Tribolium castaneum: one gene and its partners. The protein of the gene in region 2 binds, or shares a complex with, the protein of the main gene of each other region. Links are inferred from orthologs where the notes say so. Each region holds a gene or a part of one and is shown on either strand. Other genes may lie near its edges.

Region 1 (4,880 bases), on a different chromosome or scaffold from region 2:
TAATCTCGTTTGATAAGAAAAACAATTAATAAAGTTTAATACAATACAAAAATAAATTCAAATGCGTCAAGGACAATGGCGGGAAAATTTCTCCGAGAAATAAAATACGTCAGATCAGAAAATCGCCAAGTGGGCCGCGGAAAGCATGGCTACCACGACTTGCTCGAGAAAATGGAAATAAACAAGCAAACTAACTAAAAACGCTCTTTTCATTCACAATTCTGATCCATGATGGATCTTAATCTTTGCCACTCGTTAGCGTAGCATCAAAAATGTCCAACTCTGTTGATTCCAGCGAGCTTTATGAGACGCTTTGCATTGAAAAACCGGACCAAAGTGGTCAATCTCCGGGTTATCGTGAAATTTGCAACGAAATCGTCAACTCGCACGCGGAAATCTTTCTAGAATCCGATGTTATTAAAATATTAGTGTGGCATCTAGCCTCGCACGAGGACGCCTCCAAGTTGCTATTGATTTCGCCATATTGAATCGAGCAAGCGATGCTAGCCTCAACCCGGGGTCCATTGTATATGGCGGGATGCTTTCCAAGCGTGTTTACACCGCATGCCATAATGAAAAACAGTCGAAAACACCATGGCAACAACAAATTTAGCATCGTATTGTCGCAAAGCCGCCTCCGCGCCGGGAAAAAGCCCCGTTCACATGGCAACCATCCCGCGGAAAACGCGTGAAAACGGCGTTTCCGCGCGTTTTCCACGCGAAAATCCCGACCACAACATCCAACGGCCATGTGACCTTATCGCAAAGCAGCGTAAATGCGAAAGAAACAGTCGAACTCACCTCCGCCGCTCGCTTCGTGCCTTTTAACTCGCATTTGGCGTCGGGCGCACTTTTGTCGTTGTCGATTTTTTCGACAGCAACTTCGTTATTTTCTTTCGAACTCATTTTGTTTATATTCCTGTGTGGGTTTCACGCTTTATCGAAAAGTGACGTTCACCAACGTTGAACACTACTGACCGGCTACTCGTTAGCTTTGTTCAAAAATTAAGATGGCGCCGCTCAAACCGATCGGCCCCGGACTTGGACGAGTGACCGGCTTTCGACTCCCTAAACTATTTATTCACACCAACCGCCAAAAACCAAAAGACAACAAATTCCAAGCTTTTTCGGTGTCTCGGACCCAAAAAACGTGCGCCAGATTTTATGAAATTAATTGCAAGGTGTTTGCTCATGAGGGTTCCGAGAGCACGGATTGAGTTTTACGAACCGGACCGAGATTAAAAACGTGGTTTGAGTATGCCACCGCCAGGGGCGCTCTTCAAAAAATTTCCCTCCACAATCACATTCATTTTATTATTATGCAGAAAAACAGCCGATTATTGACTCAATTTAAAAGGGAACTATTCGGCACGACTTGTTACCCACTAATTAAAACGCCTTTCCCTTGTGGCCGCAAAAATGCGTCTTAAAAACTTTTTCTTCTATTTTTCCTTGCGACCACGTGAAACGAATTAAAACTCTATAAACTTATAACGAAACACTTTTCTATCTTTCATCCAATATAGCAATTCAAAATTCGCGCCAATGTAAACGACGCATGCGCATAGTGTGACACGTTGCATCTCTCTCTTTTTTTTGCAATAAAGAAAATCCCAAGATGGTAAGCAGGTTTTCAATCAAATATCTCAAAAAATCGCAATAATCGGCCTTTGAATTACCGAAAATTTAGCGAATTCGTGCATTTGGCGTCCTTGGAAGGGCACATTCCTGTTTATTTTCGCGTTTTGAGGACGTTTGATGAATTGTGGGGTTATGTCATTGTTTTTAGGTTAACGTCCCGAAGCAGAGGCGCACCTTCTGCAAGAAATGCAAGGTGCACAAGTTGCACAAAGTCACCCAATACAAAAAGTCCAAGGAACGTCACGCTTCGCAAGGTAGGAGACGTTACGACAGGAAGCAGCAAGGTTTCGGTGGACAAACCAAGCCCATCTTCAGGAAGAAGGTATTTTTTTACCTACTTTGAGTGTGGGGCTATTGTGTGTTTTTAGGCTAAAACCACCAAGAAAATCGTGCTCAGGATGGAATGCACTGAATGTAAATATAGGAAACAGATTCCCTTGAAACGCTGCAAGCACTTTGAATTGGGTGGCGACAAGAAGCGCAAGGGACAAATGATTCAGTTCTAATTGTTTGACTAAATAAACACATTTTGTAAAAATTCATAACGTGTTTTATTTATACTTTTAACAATGTTTTTTTAACACAATTAATTAACCGAGGAACTGTCTTGCGTATCAGTTGATTTGGAACTAAAAAATAACGGACGTGTTGCTGATTCGCCAGTGATAGTAGTACTTACTCCAATATGCAAGGGTCAAGTCCCTCTGTTTGCATTTTCAGCTTGACAGCAGCTGGGGGAACCCCAAATTGCAACATTTTGAAAAAGCGTTGATATCGCGGGTCTGACGCAACATCAGGCTCTACCTCTACATTTTTTTCAATTTGCGTCTCCTCGTCTTTAACAGGAGGCAGATCTAAATCGTTTTGTTTAGGCGAGTCCTTTGCAGTGTTTTCTTCTAAATGCGCAATTGAACCTAACTAACACAACCGACTCACTTTTGCGCCAAATAATCGGAACTTAAGGCATTCTAGCATTGTTCAATACTTACTTGCGACTCAAGTATAAGTAAAGAAGCCTCAACTTCTTGCAGTTTGTACTCGAATTCCATCAAACGCGATTCACACGACTGTGCAAAATGGTTTAAAAACGACACCGTATTCATTACGAAATGATTGATAAAAGCAATCGTGCGCTTTTGTTGAATGGGTAAAATCTAAGTGGAGAAGTTGGACGTGATTGTTGCTCGAATGGGTCGCTTTTTTCAAAGACTTACCTGCGTGTAATCCACATTTGGATCAATTGAGGAAAGGTCGTTCACTTGCATTATTTACATTATCTGAGTGAAAAACACTCAAAATTAGGGGGAATCAAGGCATCGGCACAAGTTTATTGAATTAATTGGCTCCAAAGGGACACAAAGAACCTGAGTGACAGCTGTCAAAAGTGACGTTTGAGGTTAGATTGTGGCGAAAGGATCGCTTTTTATGCAATTAACAAACGCAAACACGCTCAATAAAACAGATTTATTATGCCAGATTTATAAAATAACATTGCATCTTGTAAAATATAAAAACAATCACAGTATAAATAAACTTGATATAGACTAAACTACAAACCTTAACAATTTTATAAGAAAACTATCATTGAATTTAGGGCGGTACACAGTACTGTTATATTTAATGTCAAATATTGAACTCGCTTTTGCATTACTTAGACTTAAGTAATGGTGGTTTCATGGAGCACCCTTGTACATATCACTAGCTTGGCAAATATTATCTAGCGCGCTATTGGCCAATCGCGTTAAACTATCAGTCATATTCGGCTCCTGGCGCCCCTCACTCTCGTCCATAAGCGATAGATTTTGGGTGAAAGTCTCTGACAAGTTATTTGTCTCAAGCATGCTTAAATCACCCGAGTTTAAGTCAATCGGTTTCAACTCCAATTGTTGATTGTCCAGATTTAATAAACTGCTTATACCACTTGGCGTTTCACTTAAATTAACACCACTGAGATCATTTTGGGCGGAAGGATTCCAATTCATGTTTAACATATCGCCGACTACTGAAGTCGAAGGCATATTCCAGTTCATCATGCCTCCGATTGGCGGAAGCACGTTCTGGAACAGAGGGGCTTCCGGGGGCGTGGGGGCCACGTAATGGGGCGACACGTTCGGGATGGGCGCCTCGAACATCTGCCCGCCGTACGGCGAAGGCGCCTTATCTAGAAAAAAACACTAAAGCGGGGAAAAATATAAAATTAAATTACCTCTGGGCTCGACTTTAATGCCTTCGGATGGAATGTTGAGTAGGAAGGGTTGGTGCGTCCCTAACAAAAAATCATTAATAAATTGGCCAAATCACAAATTAACTTAAAATCACGCAAAACTACTAAACAAACCAATTGTTAGCCAACATAAGCTCAACCAATTAATAAAACAAAACAAGTTATAAGAAAAAATCATGCAAAACATTCATGTACCTTAATTCCGGTGACAGTTGGCTGCAGCTTATGACGCAATGAAAGACTGTTTACTTGTAAAAAACTTTAATACTTCAGCTGATATAAAGATATAAAGCCTTTAGAAAACACTAACAATCTACCTTTAAACTTTCCAAACAATTGAACATCAACACACTTAAAATTGTATAACTTTGTGTAATAATTCCGATCACAGCCCCATTGATGGATGGGGGATTTCGATTTTGGGCGTAATAGGCGACATATCGCGGCTTTTTAATTTAAAAAAAGGTTAAAAAATTCAAATATAAGACATGAGCACTGTCAGTGTCACTTTTAACGAGCTAAAAATATACCTAGAGTAGGCTGTAACGCGAAATTTGACACATCAGTGACAGTTTTAATGTCAGATTATGACATAAAAGCAAGACCGCTCTAGATAAAATAACTTTTTCAAATGATTTTCGAAGAATTAACTTACAAAAAAAGCAAAAAAAAAAACAGAAACATAAATAATAAACATTGTGACATTAGCACGTCAAATTTGAATTGCCAAACTGACGTATAAATAGTTCCCTGTCCATCAGAGAGTTGTGATTGTAATAAACAATAAAATAACAGTGACTAAATAACTATGACTAGTAATAAAACATTTCAATAAACAAGTTTCGTCGTAATAAAGTAAAACAATCTCATTGGCTGAATTCGGCCAATCAGTTTTGAGCAAAATGACCCACCACCAAAAAATGGAAAAAAACTTACTTTGTTTGTCACTTTCCTCAACATGTCTTAACAATTGGCTTGGGTCATGATACTTTTGCCTCTTTCGCTTAAGCATACC
Region 2 (4,841 bases):
CGTTGGGAATTATTGGTTAGAAATAATGACAAAACAATTTACAAGTTCGTGCCGACATTTCGATTCTTTAAGTCAAAAATTAAATTTGTTTGCAAATTTATTTCATATTTTATTGAATTGAAGTTAACTTTTTTCGTCTGTTTTTAATTAATTTTTTGGCTTAAAAACATCTAAAATCTACTAAAATAAGACGAAATTAAACAAGAAGAAACAAATTTTTATTATTGATAAAAATTAACAAGCTAATAGAAATTTATATTATCAATCAGTTGTGTTTGTTTTTGAACCTAAAACTTATTTATTTTGAAGATCTTGTCAAAACACGCCTCACAATCACAAAAATCAAACAAAGTTAATGTTACTGTGCCGGTTCCACTCGATTTCGCTTGTCTTTAAGCGAAATTTTGTCAATAATTTAGTCTAAAAAGAAGTTATTTCTACTTTTTTAAGTTGTTGAACCCATTTTTTGTTCATTTGTGAATTTTTGCGTTTTATTAATAAGTAATAAGCCAAAAAATCGTCGAATAATTTAATTAATCTTTAGTTTTGTTCATTAATTCGAAATGGTATTCTAAAGAAATAAAATAAGAATTGTTTGTTACGTGGCAAATAATTGATTAGTTAAATTTGTATTTTTTTACTTTCTTTTTTATTTGTCGTTTGTTCTAACCAACAAAAAAAATTGAAGACAGGTTGTTGGTGCATGGACGCGTCATTTTCATTTTGAGTGACTATGCATTACCCAAACCCGTTTCAGCTCTCACTGGATTCGAAACCAAAAATAAATTTACTGTGAAAAACAGCTTAGGCCAAAAAGTATATTACGCCGTCGAAGACTCCGATTGTTTAACTCGAAACTGTTGCGGTCCAATTCGGCCGTTCGACATGAACATTTTAGACAATTACAAAAACGAAGTGATTCATTTGCACCGTCCTTTAGCGTGTGATTCTTGTTGTTTCCCGTGCTGCCTCCAAGTACAGTCGATTTCCGCGCGAATTTCTTGCATTTCATTCATTCATTCCAGAGCATAGAAGTTTCAGCGCCTCCTGGCACAGTTGTAGGAAGTGTGGAGCAGGAATGGAGCATCTTTTGCCCAAGTTTCGCGATTAAAAATCCAAGTGGCGAAACGGTTCTCCGAATAGAAGGACCGTTTTGTACGTTCAGTATTTGTGGAGACGTTGAATTTAAGATAATGTCTGCTGATGGTAACACACAAGTGGGAAAAATTTCCAAACAGTGGTCGGGTCTTATCAGAGAAATGTTTACCGATACTGATTATTTTGGGATAACGTTTCCAATGGACTTGGACGTAAGAATGAAAGCTGTTATGCTAGGAGCCTGCTTTTTAATTGTAAATCTAAGAATATTGAAAATTTGGTCACATGTTATTTTGTCTCTTTTTAGGATGCTATGTTCTTTGAAAAGTCGAGAAACAAAGAAGAGGATTCTCCAGGCATGCTTTAATTTTTGTGCATTTATGTGATTGTGTGGTTAATTTTTATTTTAAGCGTCGTTGCACAATGTATTTTTTATTGTTGAATTTATAAAGACGTGTCAATTTAATATTATTAACTGATGCTTAGAAAATGGCCTTCCCGACTATAAATTAATATATTATATATATTCTTAATACTATAACTAACTGTTTACATATTATATTCTCGTAATAATTGTACAATTTACCAATATAACGTTACCATTAGTTGCTTTTCATTTATTAACTCCATTTTTCATATTCTGTTGCACTACAATTACACCTAACGCTTCTCTGTTAAATGTTACTGAAACTATGCCCAAAATAGTACGTAAAGTAGTACTTTTCCGGACCCCTTTACTTCTTATTACATAATTAAAGCTAACGTAATAGTCCATATTGCTGGTCGCATTGATTTTCAAAATGTTCAAAATAAAGAATTTCATATTCTTAAGCAGGTAAGTAAAATTGTAATAATTGTATTATTAAATGAAATAACGGGCAAAGCTGTCTGGTTGTCGTGCAGTAAATAAAGTTTTATTTAGCAAACGGTACACAATTATAATAAAGTAAAACTGAAACAAAAAAGTAGAAGATCCGTTTGTTAAATATTATTTTTATTTTGGTGGGTTGGTGTTAGTGCGCATGCTTGGCGTCCTAGGGATGTTTCAAAAGTGGTTCCAACCTCTGTTCCTGTTGTCGTCAACCTGTCAAAATGTGCTTTAAGTTGGTAGTTGTGTTATTAAAATTGTTTTCTTTTTAAACGTTTTAAAACAATGTTATAATTACTGTAATAGAAACTGTGTACGCTTAAAACGTCAATAAAATGCTTGAACCCCGAGATGTAGCTGAGAAGAAATTAAATGCTGAAACCAATAGTGAGTAACATAACCTAACTTTCTGCAAAATTTTATAAAACCATATTTTAGGATTAATTGGTGAAGTACAGCTGCTTCAGTACGGCAATTTTTTAGATAAGTACAGTGCTGATTTAAATCATTTTAAAGAGAAGCTTCCAAATAGATTCAACGTGCGATTAGAGCCAATTTTACTTCAGGTTCAATCGGTGCAAAAAGAGGGGCTTTTTTAAATATTTGTGATTTTAGAGCTCTAGAACTGAAAATGTGTCTCTGTTGCATTTAGTACACTCAGATAATAAGCTTTTGAGTCGAATTTTGGCCAGTTTAGCTGCTGTTTGTGAAGAAATTAATTTACTAGTGGAGGAAGCCAGGACGTACTATCCCGTTTTTGTTTTCTATGGGGAAGGTACGATTATATAAACTGATCAAATCTTGTCACAAAAATTCAATCCGAGATATGAACAGGGTGGGAAAAATTAAATAATATATGTATTTCTCAAAGTAATTGAGATACGACTTAAAAATTATTGCGCAGTGTTTTGTTATTTAATAATCCTTTTATTTCTAAAACGACCACGTTTTATGCATTGCGCATCATGTTATAGTTAATTTACCACTTGTTTATTATTAAAAAGTTAAATTAATATTAATTTATTAAGGAAAGGTAGAAACACTCTTAGGAAGAAAACAGCAAAAAATCGTTATTCGGGCGAACTTTTGGCAACAATTAGTTCGGGTTATAGAGGTTCTACTACATTTAATTTATCCCCTATATACAGGTTGTCCCAGTGGGTAGGTAAAATCCACTATTCGCTGTGGTGTAATTAATTATTGAAGACAGACAAGCTTATTTTGGTTATATAATTTATAACTGACGTTTTTGGGGCTTCTTTAGGGCAATAAATAGGAAATCATTCGTATAATGTGGAGGGGAACCATTTTGTTAAACAGATACTATTATTCACCTTTAAACAATGTTAGAAAAGTAATATTTTTCCCTAAGCCATAAATACTAACCCCCTGCCTTACCTGAAAGAATTTTCAAATATACAGGATGATTCCGAAATTAGCTACAGTGCAAACTTATGTTTTTTCAATTGAACATCCTACATTTTTTTGCATTTTTGGATGTAGATTTTAGAACCAATGATTTAGAGTGTAGACTTAACTTTTATTGGTCAATTTTGCTTAGTTTTTGAAATATTTAAAAAAAACACGCACTTTTTAAAAATGTATTGCTCAAAAACGTAAGATTCTTAGAACAGTTGGACTTTGACTACATTAAAGAAGAATGTTCAAACTTAAATCGGTACCAATTGATTAACGCATTTCAATTAGAAACGTAGAAAAATTATGATGTTTGTTAATATTTAAATAACGTGAATAGGGGAACACCCTATTTTTTGTTTTTGCTTCTCAAGGATTATGAAATCTATCTAAAAACATAAAGTTTCGAATACCCTAAGTTAATAATGGAAAAGATTCATGAGCATTGCCGTTACCATAGTAAAGCATAACCATGGTTTACCATATGGTTACCATAACCATAGCAACTCCACCACGGATCATTTGTTAGAGTTTTATGCAGGCATTTAAAAATCTATCATAAATATTAAAATTGTAATTATTTTTTTACTGCAAGGAATGACGAATAATGGCATCAAAGTTATTATTAGCTGAAAATTTCACTTTTCGACTACTGAAACAATGGTACTTTAATAATTTTTAATGATTTTTTTAATGCTTACAAGTTAAATATCTTTTGAGTAAACAGCAAGAGGCACTTAACTGTTATTGTTTTTAGGTACACATATAGAGTAAAAATAAAAAATAGGGTGTTTTATTTAAAAAATTTAAGTTATTCATCTTTTAACAAACCTCTTAATTTTTTTGTTTTCTTGATTTCGTGAGCTAAAAAAATTATGTCCTTAAAAATTGAACATTCTTGTTTAAAGTGGTGAAAGTCCTACTTTTTTTGAAATGTTATTTTTTTAACAATGCATACATTTTATTAAAAAAATTAAAATACGGGGTAGTTTAGGCCAGCTCCCATCTTCTGTAGCTCGGTTATTATACTTATAAGGTGATGTTTTAATATTTTGTAGATGATATTTATACTCTAGGACACATTTTCGGAAAATATTTTTGACTATACAGATTGTTTCAAAAAAGTATGACGTTATAATATTTTTTTAATAGCATGCTATTATTTTTTTGTGTTTATTATGATACCTTTTTAGCTTATTACATCTCCATAAAGTCCTTCTCAAATCAGTTCAGGGATTACTGTTAAAAAAATAAAAACCAAAAAAAAATCAGTTTTACATCTTAAAAATTACTAAAAAATGGAAATAGTGCTTTTTTGATGACATTATTACTAGGTACGTGTTGAGCAAGGTCTAATAGACTCATTAATTAAGCTTGATTGATTTAAATTAGTACAGGGTGTTTTGCAGCATTTCTGGGTTACATTTTTTGTTTTTTGTTTTTTAATTTTTTGCCCTCT
Region 3 (4,046 bases), about 4.1 Mb from region 2:
AGATTATTTATAATATTTAATAATATTTTTATTATTATTATTATTATTATTATCATTATTATTATTATTATTATCATTATTATTATTATTATTATTATTATTATTTTTATTATTATTATTTTGCCCCTCTAAAATAATGTACAAATGTGTATTAAAACGGGATTAGAAAATGTTTAACACAAAAATAAGCACGGACTTGTTTTTGTGTTTAATTTTTAAACTTTCATCTCGCGCTTCTTTTCGTCTGTCAGTCATTTGGCAGCACTGCCACATTTTTTGCCGCTAGTGTGAGGATTTGAAATGTAATTTAAGAGTAAAAAATGCCAAAACGGCCTTATCCGGATTACGATATCGTACAACCGGTGAAAAAACAACAAAATAGTTTATCAAAATCGCGGAAAATTCGCTCATCGTCGTCAGGTAACCACATTGAGGTTATGTCAGTTTTTTATTATTTGTTTCAGAGCGGACGCTCCAGTTATTATATAAGGGGGCCTCCAAACGCGAGAAAAATGAGGTAGAATATGTGAATCGGTGTGAGACTTTATTAATTTGATTTGTAGGAACCTCATTCACTGATGTGTACTGTATGTTCAAAAGAAGCCCCCTCGGGGGTCATTTGTAACTATTGTGAACACGCGTTATGTTTGCAGTGCACAAATATGTGCCATAAATGCAGTAATGGGTTTTGTAACGATTGCTCATTTCCCACGTGAGTGGCTTTGTTCCGAGTGGCTCAAAAAATTAAATGTTTTTTTTTAGATACGATCATAATGTCGCAGTTTGTTATTCCTGCTACAGTTAGCGCACAATTGTATTAATTTATTGGGTAAAGAAAACAATCATTATGTAACATGATAATATTTATTGATATAAAATATAATATTAAATGAATTAATCATCCCAGTCTTCGTCTTCGGTATTATTCTCGTTGCTCTCGCTACGAATGGGCGGCGGAATCATGGCCGAGATTTTTTCTAACGCACTACTTGCGTCCAAACTTTCCTGCTTTTTAGTACCTGAGATGCCCTTCCTGCGCATGGAAAGCTTGGCGTGCAAATCAGCCATCAAGTCGCCCCCAGTCTGTAAAACAAATAACTAATTATTAAACTTTTTCAATCAACAAAAGTCGAAAACTAACCACGGGTTTTGCCGTCGTTTGCTCCCTGTCGGCACTTGTGGCTTTCAAATTTTTGGCGCCCCCCGCTTTCCTGATGGCCTCCATGAGGCTGGCCCGCACGTCCAGCTGGGGCAGTTCGGTGATTTTGGGGGCTTCCTCCACCTGTTCAGTGGGTGGTGTGGGCGGTTTGGGCGTTTCAACCTTCTCTGGGACTTGCTCCTCAATTTCTTTGGCGGGTGTTGGGGGCGGCGGGAGTTCGATTTCGGGGAAGTCCTCCTTGGGCTGGGGGTTGGCGGGTTCGATTGTGGGCAGGTCGGGGATGTTCGGGGTCGTGGTGACTGAGGGGGCGATCCCGGGGCCCAACTCCGTGTCGTACCGCAGGTCGTCGGCAATGTTGGGCAAATCGGGCAGATCCAGGGGCACGTCGAGCGCCGGGACTTCCCCCAAGTTGGGGGTGTAGAAGTAGTTCTGGGTGGAGGAGCGCGTCAGGGTTGAGCGTTCGCTGATTGAGAAGGGGGCTGCCCCGATGCTCGAACTGTCGTTGTGGTCTTGTTCTTTGATTTGTTGGGAGATTTCCAAAGGGTCGGACATTACGAAATTCGTGTAGAGGTTTTTGCCGGAATTGTAGAGGAGTAGGTCGTTTACGCATTCCGAGTCTTTGGGGATTTCCCCCAAGCCGCCGAACGTCTCTTTGTTCTCATTTTTTTTGAGTTTCACGTGGTAGATGTACAATTTATCTAAATGTTCATCGTTTGATGGGGCTTTTTTCTGCTTCACTTTATGTCGTACTAATTCAGGAGGTTTAACGTCGCTAAATATTGAAATATAGGGTTGATTTACATCGGACGCTGGGTATTTACAACTTGAAAACACTTGTGTTGCTTTTTTTGCACCGTTCAATTTGTTTATTTTCATTTTCACTTTATCGACACGTTCGGATATGTTTGATATCTTTTTTCTGCTAGATTCAATTCTGTTATTTATATGTTTTAATATGTCATCTGTTACGTTCGTTAAATGATTTAATACTTCAGCCACCTGAACGATTGTTTCCTGTTTATTCAAGTTTTGAGGGATTACAGGTACTTTGTAAACATGATTCATTTTAAATAAACTAACTACATTAATTAATTAAAAAAATGACACTACACTCTACACTTTTTGCAGGTTATGTTTTGTTTTTTACGTCATCTTATCACAGCAGTGTCGCCATTCGCAAGCTCAATAAATTAACATTTACTAGTAATTTCAAATTGTGTTAGGACAAAAAATTGTTTTAGGTTTTAGGAATAAAAATAAAACACATTGACGTATTAATTTCTATATTACGGCATAGAAAGAAGAAGACGGCGGACCCGTGGGTCACGCTGTGAATGATGTGATTTGTGGATTAAAATAAAATATCGAAAGAAAGATATAGATCTAAAGATAATTTGTATACAGAAGTACGTTTAAAAATGTGACAATTCTGTCTTTGAAAGCCTTAAAACAGCCTTCAAAAACAGAGTCGCAATTCCGGTTTCTTAACAAGAGTTGTTGATTGCTCTGCTGTAAGTTGATAAAGGCAAGTTATTGTGGAGTATAATTGCTTCAGTAATTTCTTCAAGTAGAGCAATTAACTTGTAACAATTTGTCGTAATATTGACAATAACAATAATAATTTAAAATGTGGAGGACCGTAAAAAATCCTCATTATAAAATAATACTTTCCAAAATCACTAACGTCAAAACGGCTAAACAAACTGGTTGCATTTAAATTATTTTAGTGCTAGAGGGTGTTGGCACTACTTAATAAAAAGCGTATCAATTCAACTGGACTAGCGTCTGGGATGAGACAAAACAAACAAACCATTGGACTTCATCACAAAATCAATCAGATACACTTATTAAATCCATTAATAAAACCAGAACGAGTTAAGTACGTAACTTAATACAACTAAAACAATGACATACTAGACCTGATAGTGATTACATATGCACGAGTTTTGTTTCAAACATGTAAGTAACGTATTTTTATTCACGGGAAGGCGTTTCAACATTGCGCCAATTTTTATTAAAATTAAATAAGATCAGAAGCCTTACCCATGAATCAACAGTTGAAACAACGTAACGATTTTTTCACAATTAATGTTTCATAAAATCCTGAGATATGTAAATAAATACTAGCAGAAAAAATACTGTTTGTGTTAAGTAATAATACTTTTGATTCAGTAAAATTATGAAACATGAATTGGTTGAGCAACCATTAAAAAATGATCAATCCTGCATTTATTATAGCTAAACTATCTGGCAACAACTAACATTGACTTAATGCTACCGTGTTCCTTTATTCCTTCACCCCGTTTATTATGGATAAAACTTTATATTTTTAATACCTTAAACGAAAACATCAATAATCGGCAATCAAGCCAAACCCGCTTACCTATAATAGTTAGGCTTGAAAGGTCCAGCTTTATTTAGGCCCATATACTTAGCCTGTTCGTCCGTCAATTCAGTCAAGTGGGCATCAAAGGTCGGTAAATGTAAACTCGCTACATACTCATCTATAAAACTTTGATTAGAATTTTTCCCACTCAAACCTAAGGTCAATACCCATTTTTTTCGGTAAAAGATAAACGTCAGATTTGTAACGCCCCGCTGGGGCGTTAAAAAGCTCAATTAAAGCAAGAGCTTGCGTTGCTGATGTTATAGAAACAACAAAAGATGGCAAACTTGAACAACTTAAATTAACTAACCTTCCTTCTGCTAAAAGAATAATTCTTTTACCATCAGGCCATATAACATGGTCTACCTGTGAACGAACTTTTTCCCAAGTCAAATCAGGCGCTCGCAAACTATTCTGTAACACAAAATGTACCAAAACTCGCCTCCTACCAGCCCAACTTACAACATCAATCTCAGTGTTCGAGTGGCCCATGTTGCACAC
Region 4 (5,083 bases), on a different chromosome or scaffold from region 2:
GTGTTTCCTGAAAATGCCGCTAAATGCCTGATTGTGGTTTAGTCAAGTTTTACTTGTTCGCATTCTAGTTTGAGAATCAGAGCGTTGGCGAATCGTAGGGGCCCCCCTGTGGCAGAGCCCCCTTTGGCCCCTTGCTGCTCGTTTAAAATTTGGCTGTGTGGTTTGCCTTTCTGCTGCAAAACCTCCAAAGATCTGGAAGAGAATGGTCGAAAAGTGCGGGTAGATTGGCATTTTCACCTCAAAATTTTGCGCTTGTTGTTGGGGTGCAGCCTGCGGGCCATGGCGGGGTCCAGAAGCTGCAATTTTTTGTGCAGCTCTTCGCTGGATAATTCATGGTCGATGTGTCTGGATGGTAGCGCTTTTACATGGTCCCCGGGTTCTTCAATTAAAATTTTCCACAAGAGGGACTCGATATAATAATTAGTTCCACCAACGATGATGGGTAATTTATTTTTATTTATTAAATTCTCGATCTGAATAAAATTTAAGGAATCTTGGGGAAAAAAGTGGGGCATTCTTGCTTTTATGGCTAATAAAATTCGGGCGTTTGATATGCAAAAAATGATTCATTTGTTCCGGGGATTAATTATTTTTTCAAATATGCTTCATGAATAAAACACCTGCTGCAGAGAGGAGGAAATAGACGCAACAGCTGAAATTGTAAGTAGGACCTAAATTTATTTTATAGTAATTTTATTTCCAAGGTCACAAATTTCGGTTTCAGCCTTGATTGTGTGGTGTAATGGACTACACGTGGAAATGGGTAGAGGAAACAAGTGACGAAATAAGCAAACGTGTTAAAATTTCTTAATTTCTGAAGGATACAATTTTTAAAGCGCTATTTCGGTACTGGACCACCGTAAAAGTCTCATGAGGCTCCAGAATGTCAATTAGGTGGTGAGGGGCCACGTTTTGTTCCTCTTTCGTTGCTTTCGCTGTTATAATATCGAGGCCTTTGTACACCTACATAATTTTTTGTTACGTATTTCGGAAAATAATTAATTAACTTTTAATGTCGTTGAACTTGGGTAAGTAAACATTTTCAAACATTCAACCGCAATGAAATCATAATTCAGACGATGATTTATTATTCCGACCTTTGCTCGGGACTTCTTTCATACAGGTGTTAACTTTTCGTCAAGTTAATCATTCTAAGTGCTAAAACAATTTGGTAGCCTTGAACGTGACACAATGACCGAGCAAGGCTACCGCCTTTGTTTACATGGAGTTTACGCCAATTTAACAATTTCTCATGTTTGAGACGGGCGGAATATTGTTAGAAAATTAAAAAAGTTATTAAATTTAGTGACCTTGAGTTATGCAACCCATTATGCAAGGTGTATAATTGGTTGCACACCGATTTAAATCAATTTTACCCATTTTTTTGTGATAAAAAAACAGAATTAAATAAATCATGAATTAAAATAATTAAATACCTGCATCGAGTCTGCACTTATTATCTCCCCTTTAAATTTCTGCGCCAGTTCAAGGGATAATTTGGTTTTACCCGAACCGGTAGCCCCCAAAATAACAACTAATGGTAACCTAAGGGCCATTATTGGGCACTAACAAAGTTTTCTCATTTATTTGGGGCTGGAATTAATAATTTTCACAATTAATTAACTTTTACACAACACGTGTTTTTTTTTAACAATTTATGAATAATTTGTACTTGACACTGTTAATAATAAATAAAAATTAATAGTATAATTACCTGATATCAAAATTAATAAATGTTGTTGTTTTTTGAGTTTTTATACCTCGTGTTTTGGCACTTTTTCTCAAAACTAACCTCAAAATGGACTGTCAGCTGATTGTACACTACAAGTCACTTTTAATGACCCCTGACTAATTTTCGAAAATTTAGATTTACATATGAATAATAATTGTGGTGTGTTGTATCGGGTGCAAGTATGTAAACGGTTGTCCAATTAATTCTGTAATTGGATATTAAATACAATCGTGTTTTCGCAAGCTCATTATTTCGTCCTATGACTGTACAACCTGTTAATAACTGTCATCAAAAGTGAGGTTATCTGTGATTTTTTTTATGTAAATAAACAAGATTTTTTCACGAAAATGCCGGATTTTCTGGCAGAAAATAACATTTGCGGCCAGACAATTCTCCAGTTAGTCTCACGAGGCAATGCCATCATTGCCGAACTGCTCCGCTTGAAAGACTACATCCCCCAAACTTACAGGTTTGCAAAACTAAAAATTTGATTTTTCTTGTATTAAACACTTGCAGATTGGGGAGCAAGGAAGAGGTTCAAAAATACGGCGAGATAATCATGGACTTTAGCTATTTTAAAATTGAGGAAGCGCAGAATTACAAAATTGAGAATTCGGAGGTAAGGCTGTTTTTGGACAGAGAAACTAAATTAAAAAAGTGTAGTTGTTGCAAGATTTGGATGAGGAGTTTCGTGATAATCACATCGAGATGATTAATCGGTTTTATCTCACGTTTGAAAGCATCCACACTTATATTACGGATTTGAACCACTTTCTTGACGAGTTGGAGGAAGGGTTATATATCCATCAGAGTCTAGAGACGATTTTTGCCGACATGGAGGGGAAACAACTGCTTGTAATTGGTTTTTACGTAATTGGGGGGCCAATGACGGAGTTAATTTTTCTAGTGTGAAGCTTTATTTTTGTACGGTTTAATGCTGCTAATCATAGACACGTATATAGAGGGCCCCATCCGTGAGAGACTCCTAGTGTCTTACTATCGCTACACTCCGCAAAGAAGCGACACTCAAAGCCAAATCGACGATGTTTGCCGATTATTACGCGACACAGGGTTTCACACGGCGAAAAAACCCAATAATTATCCTGAGGATTATTTCCGGTAGGTTTGTAATTCAATTCGCTGCTCTAGTGAACAGGTAACTTTGTTCTTACCAAAGTGTCTCACTTCGAAAAAATTACTAGATATGATGAAATTTCATTAGGCCTGGCAAGGCGACAGACATCTCGTGATTTTTAAATTAGTTATAATTTGAAAATACACAACCTTCTTTGGTGAACAGAATTTCAGAAGTCGATGGATTCAGGGATGTAATTATTTTGCATAAATATTATTATTTTGTAAAAGATACGACGAAAAATCGCCAAATTGTGTCTGAAAGGATGTAATTTTTACATTTTACGAGAATTTAAGAGGTTTTTAAATTAGGGTTTTGTGGAGTGTCGCGTAACCGGGTCGAAAAATCACTGAATTTTGGTGCATTTTTCAGCCAGAAATATATTTGTTTAGCGCAATTTCATCAAAAATACCCCTAAAATTGCCAAATTATTGCGAAAAATGAGTAGTTTTTTTTGCAAACTTTTGCTATATCGACTTGCAAAGATACTAAGTTGTATCGAAAATGACATCTTATTTTTGCATTCTATCCAAAACTTTTGGTGAAAAATAGGTCGAAGAAACACCGTTTTAGGCCCAAAATAACGTTAGTTCAATATGCTTTCAGCTAGAGACTGCATTATGTTAAAAATTTAAAAAATATGCAATTTTTGAATGCTAAACCACTTCTTTGATATAGAACGCAGTTTTTTTGTAAAATTTTGCTAAACTTTTGTTTAAACAAACACAGAATTGGATAGAAAATCATATTATATTTAGTCGTGATTACTGTATAAGCCGAAAAATCGCCGCTTTAGTATTTAAACAAAATTTTTGTTTAAATGTTGTTATTTTTGTCTTTCCCCATCTATGTATACTTACTTAAAGTCAGAGACTCAATTTCCTCAAAAATTATACAATTTTTGAATAGAAACGTGTAATTTTGCTGTACCATGTTGAAAAAACTATAAATTGAAATTGGAAAATGACATTTTTTGCCGTTTTGTATACAAAGCGATCAAAACGCCCTTCTTTCAAGTAGGCGTACAATTTGAGAACGTACAGTTGTGAACACAAAAAAAATGGGACAAGTCTTGTAGCAGATTCTCGATAAAAGTTAGTTCATTAAAACGGATTTTCATCTTAAGTTTTATTTGGGAATAAAATTAACTAAACGTTCTTTGGTGACGACATTTCGTACTTGCCGAAAACAGTACTGTTAATTTCTTACATTAGAGTTTAAAAGTATGTGGTGGTAAATACTAGTATTGCGTTTAGTTGTGCATTTTTTCGTGATTATAAAGTATTTGTGGATAAAAAGTGAAACAGATTTTATTTATGATTACAAAGTGTTATTAAAACAATTGCGTAATCAAAGACTATACGTATTAGATTATAATTTATAACGGAAAGCGAACACATGTTGGGCTCAAAACAAAAACAGTTAATTATTATTGAAGTGTGTGAATTTGAAGTTAGAATTTTTCCACTGAAAAAAAACATGAAACACTTGCGTGAATCTACAGAACTGATGAAGATTAACAACTGCTGATACATTTAAGCATAAATTGCTCTAAAAGGTAGGTTTTCAATATCTTGTTAATAATTATAATACAATAAAGTAAGTGAACAAACAGTCATTCCGTTATTCGTGTTTTTCTTGTGATTTCTAATGTGTCAAAATTCGTACCTTGCACCAAATATACAATAGCCCAAAATTCATACAATGCTCTAAGTATCTGAATAAATATTCTCCCGCCAAAAATCCAAAGTAATCAAAACTATCATCGTCAACATTAGCAATTTGGTTAAAAAGGAAATAATTTCTAAAGCTAAGAAAGGTTTCTAATCAAAAGCAAGATTAATTTACAGAATTAATTCTAATTATAATTAGAATCTCGATCGCCACGAGAATAATTATGTTACACCAGCGAAAAAAATAACTGACGTTATTATACGTAATAGTAAATCGTTTTTATCCCAAAATAGTCTTAAAACATTTAACTGGATTTTCTAAATACACCTCTTGAAAACTTGCAACATAACAATAATTTGCTTAATTTTTTTGACATTTGGCTTGGGTTCTACGCCTACTTAATAGAAGAACTTTTCGATCGCTTTATATTAGCACGAATCCAAAATTTTTCTTGAAAAATCCCTGCTTTTTGGCTCAAAAATCTAACTACAGTTTTCAGCTAGAGACCCGCTTTTATCAAAAAATATACACATTTTTTACCT

Evidence for each region.
Region 1: SWIP (region 2) and CCDC53 share a complex: the UniProt entries of both Drosophila melanogaster proteins name them as parts of the WASH complex. The link is inferred for Tribolium castaneum from reciprocal best matches to the Drosophila melanogaster genes SWIP and CCDC53.
Region 3: SWIP (region 2) and wash share a complex: the UniProt entries of both Drosophila melanogaster proteins name them as parts of the WASH complex. The link is inferred for Tribolium castaneum from reciprocal best matches to the Drosophila melanogaster genes SWIP and wash.
Region 4: SWIP (region 2) and Strump share a complex: the UniProt entries of both Drosophila melanogaster proteins name them as parts of the WASH complex. The link is inferred for Tribolium castaneum from reciprocal best matches to the Drosophila melanogaster genes SWIP and Strump.

Annotation. Positions count from the first base shown.
Region 1 is NC_087402.1:710,886-715,765, forward strand, and holds CCDC53 (WASH complex subunit 3), read right to left. Parts: upstream 3,038-4,880; 5' UTR 2,907-3,037; coding exon 2,856-2,906; intron 2,796-2,855; coding exon 2,631-2,795; intron 2,560-2,630; coding exon 2,321-2,559; intron 2,271-2,320; coding exon 2,228-2,270; 3' UTR 2,148-2,227; coding exon of another isoform or gene 2,010-2,147; 3' UTR 1,964-2,009; coding exon of another isoform or gene 1,790-1,963; 3' UTR 1,622-1,789; coding exon of another isoform or gene 1,619-1,621; 3' UTR 907-1,618; coding exon of another isoform or gene 802-906; 3' UTR 801-801; downstream 1-800. Other genes in the region: acidic leucine-rich nuclear phosphoprotein 32 family member B, read right to left, coding at 802-906; RpL36A (large ribosomal subunit protein eL42), read left to right, coding at 1,619-1,621, 1,790-1,963, 2,010-2,147. UniProt on the Drosophila melanogaster protein: Acts at least in part as component of the WASH complex which may regulate wash nucleation-promoting factor (NPF) activity and is required for its membrane targeting during endosomal sorting.
Region 2 is NC_087403.1:8,605,000-8,609,840, reverse strand, and holds the start of SWIP (WASH complex subunit 4), read left to right. Parts: upstream 1-1,852; 5' UTR 1,853-2,301; coding exon 2,302-2,353; intron 2,354-2,404; coding exon 2,405-2,532; intron 2,533-2,581; coding exon 2,582-2,741; intron 2,742-4,582; exon of another isoform or gene 4,583-4,841. Other genes in the region: scramb1 (phospholipid scramblase 2), read left to right, coding at 758-975, 1,026-1,352, 1,406-1,465. UniProt on the Drosophila melanogaster protein: Acts at least in part as component of the WASH complex which may regulate wash nucleation-promoting factor (NPF) activity and is required for its membrane targeting during endosomal sorting.
Region 3 is NC_087403.1:4,501,065-4,505,110, forward strand, and holds wash (WASH complex subunit 1), read right to left. Parts: upstream 2,326-4,046; 5' UTR 2,225-2,325; coding exon 1,142-2,224; intron 1,084-1,141; coding exon 895-1,083; 3' UTR 846-894; downstream 1-845. Other genes in the region: uncharacterized protein LOC103314773, read left to right, coding at 321-420, 465-517, 564-712, 763-805; adenosylhomocysteinase-like 1, read right to left, coding at 3,489-3,495, 3,543-3,663, 3,713-3,959, 4,008-4,046. UniProt on the Drosophila melanogaster protein: Acts as a nucleation-promoting factor by activating the Arp2/3 complex to induce actin polymerization. Participates in both linear- and branched-actin networks.
Region 4 is NC_087394.1:25,592,546-25,597,628, forward strand, and holds the start of Strump (WASH complex subunit 5), read left to right. Parts: upstream 1-1,872; 5' UTR 1,873-2,079; coding exon 2,080-2,201; intron 2,202-2,248; coding exon 2,249-2,351; intron 2,352-2,395; coding exon 2,396-2,587; intron 2,588-2,639; coding exon 2,640-2,851; intron 2,852-5,083. Other genes in the region: tRNA dimethylallyltransferase, read right to left, coding at 1-7, 54-192, 238-473, 826-963, 1,437-1,556. UniProt on the Drosophila melanogaster protein: Acts at least in part as component of the WASH complex which may regulate wash nucleation-promoting factor (NPF) activity and is required for its membrane targeting during endosomal sorting.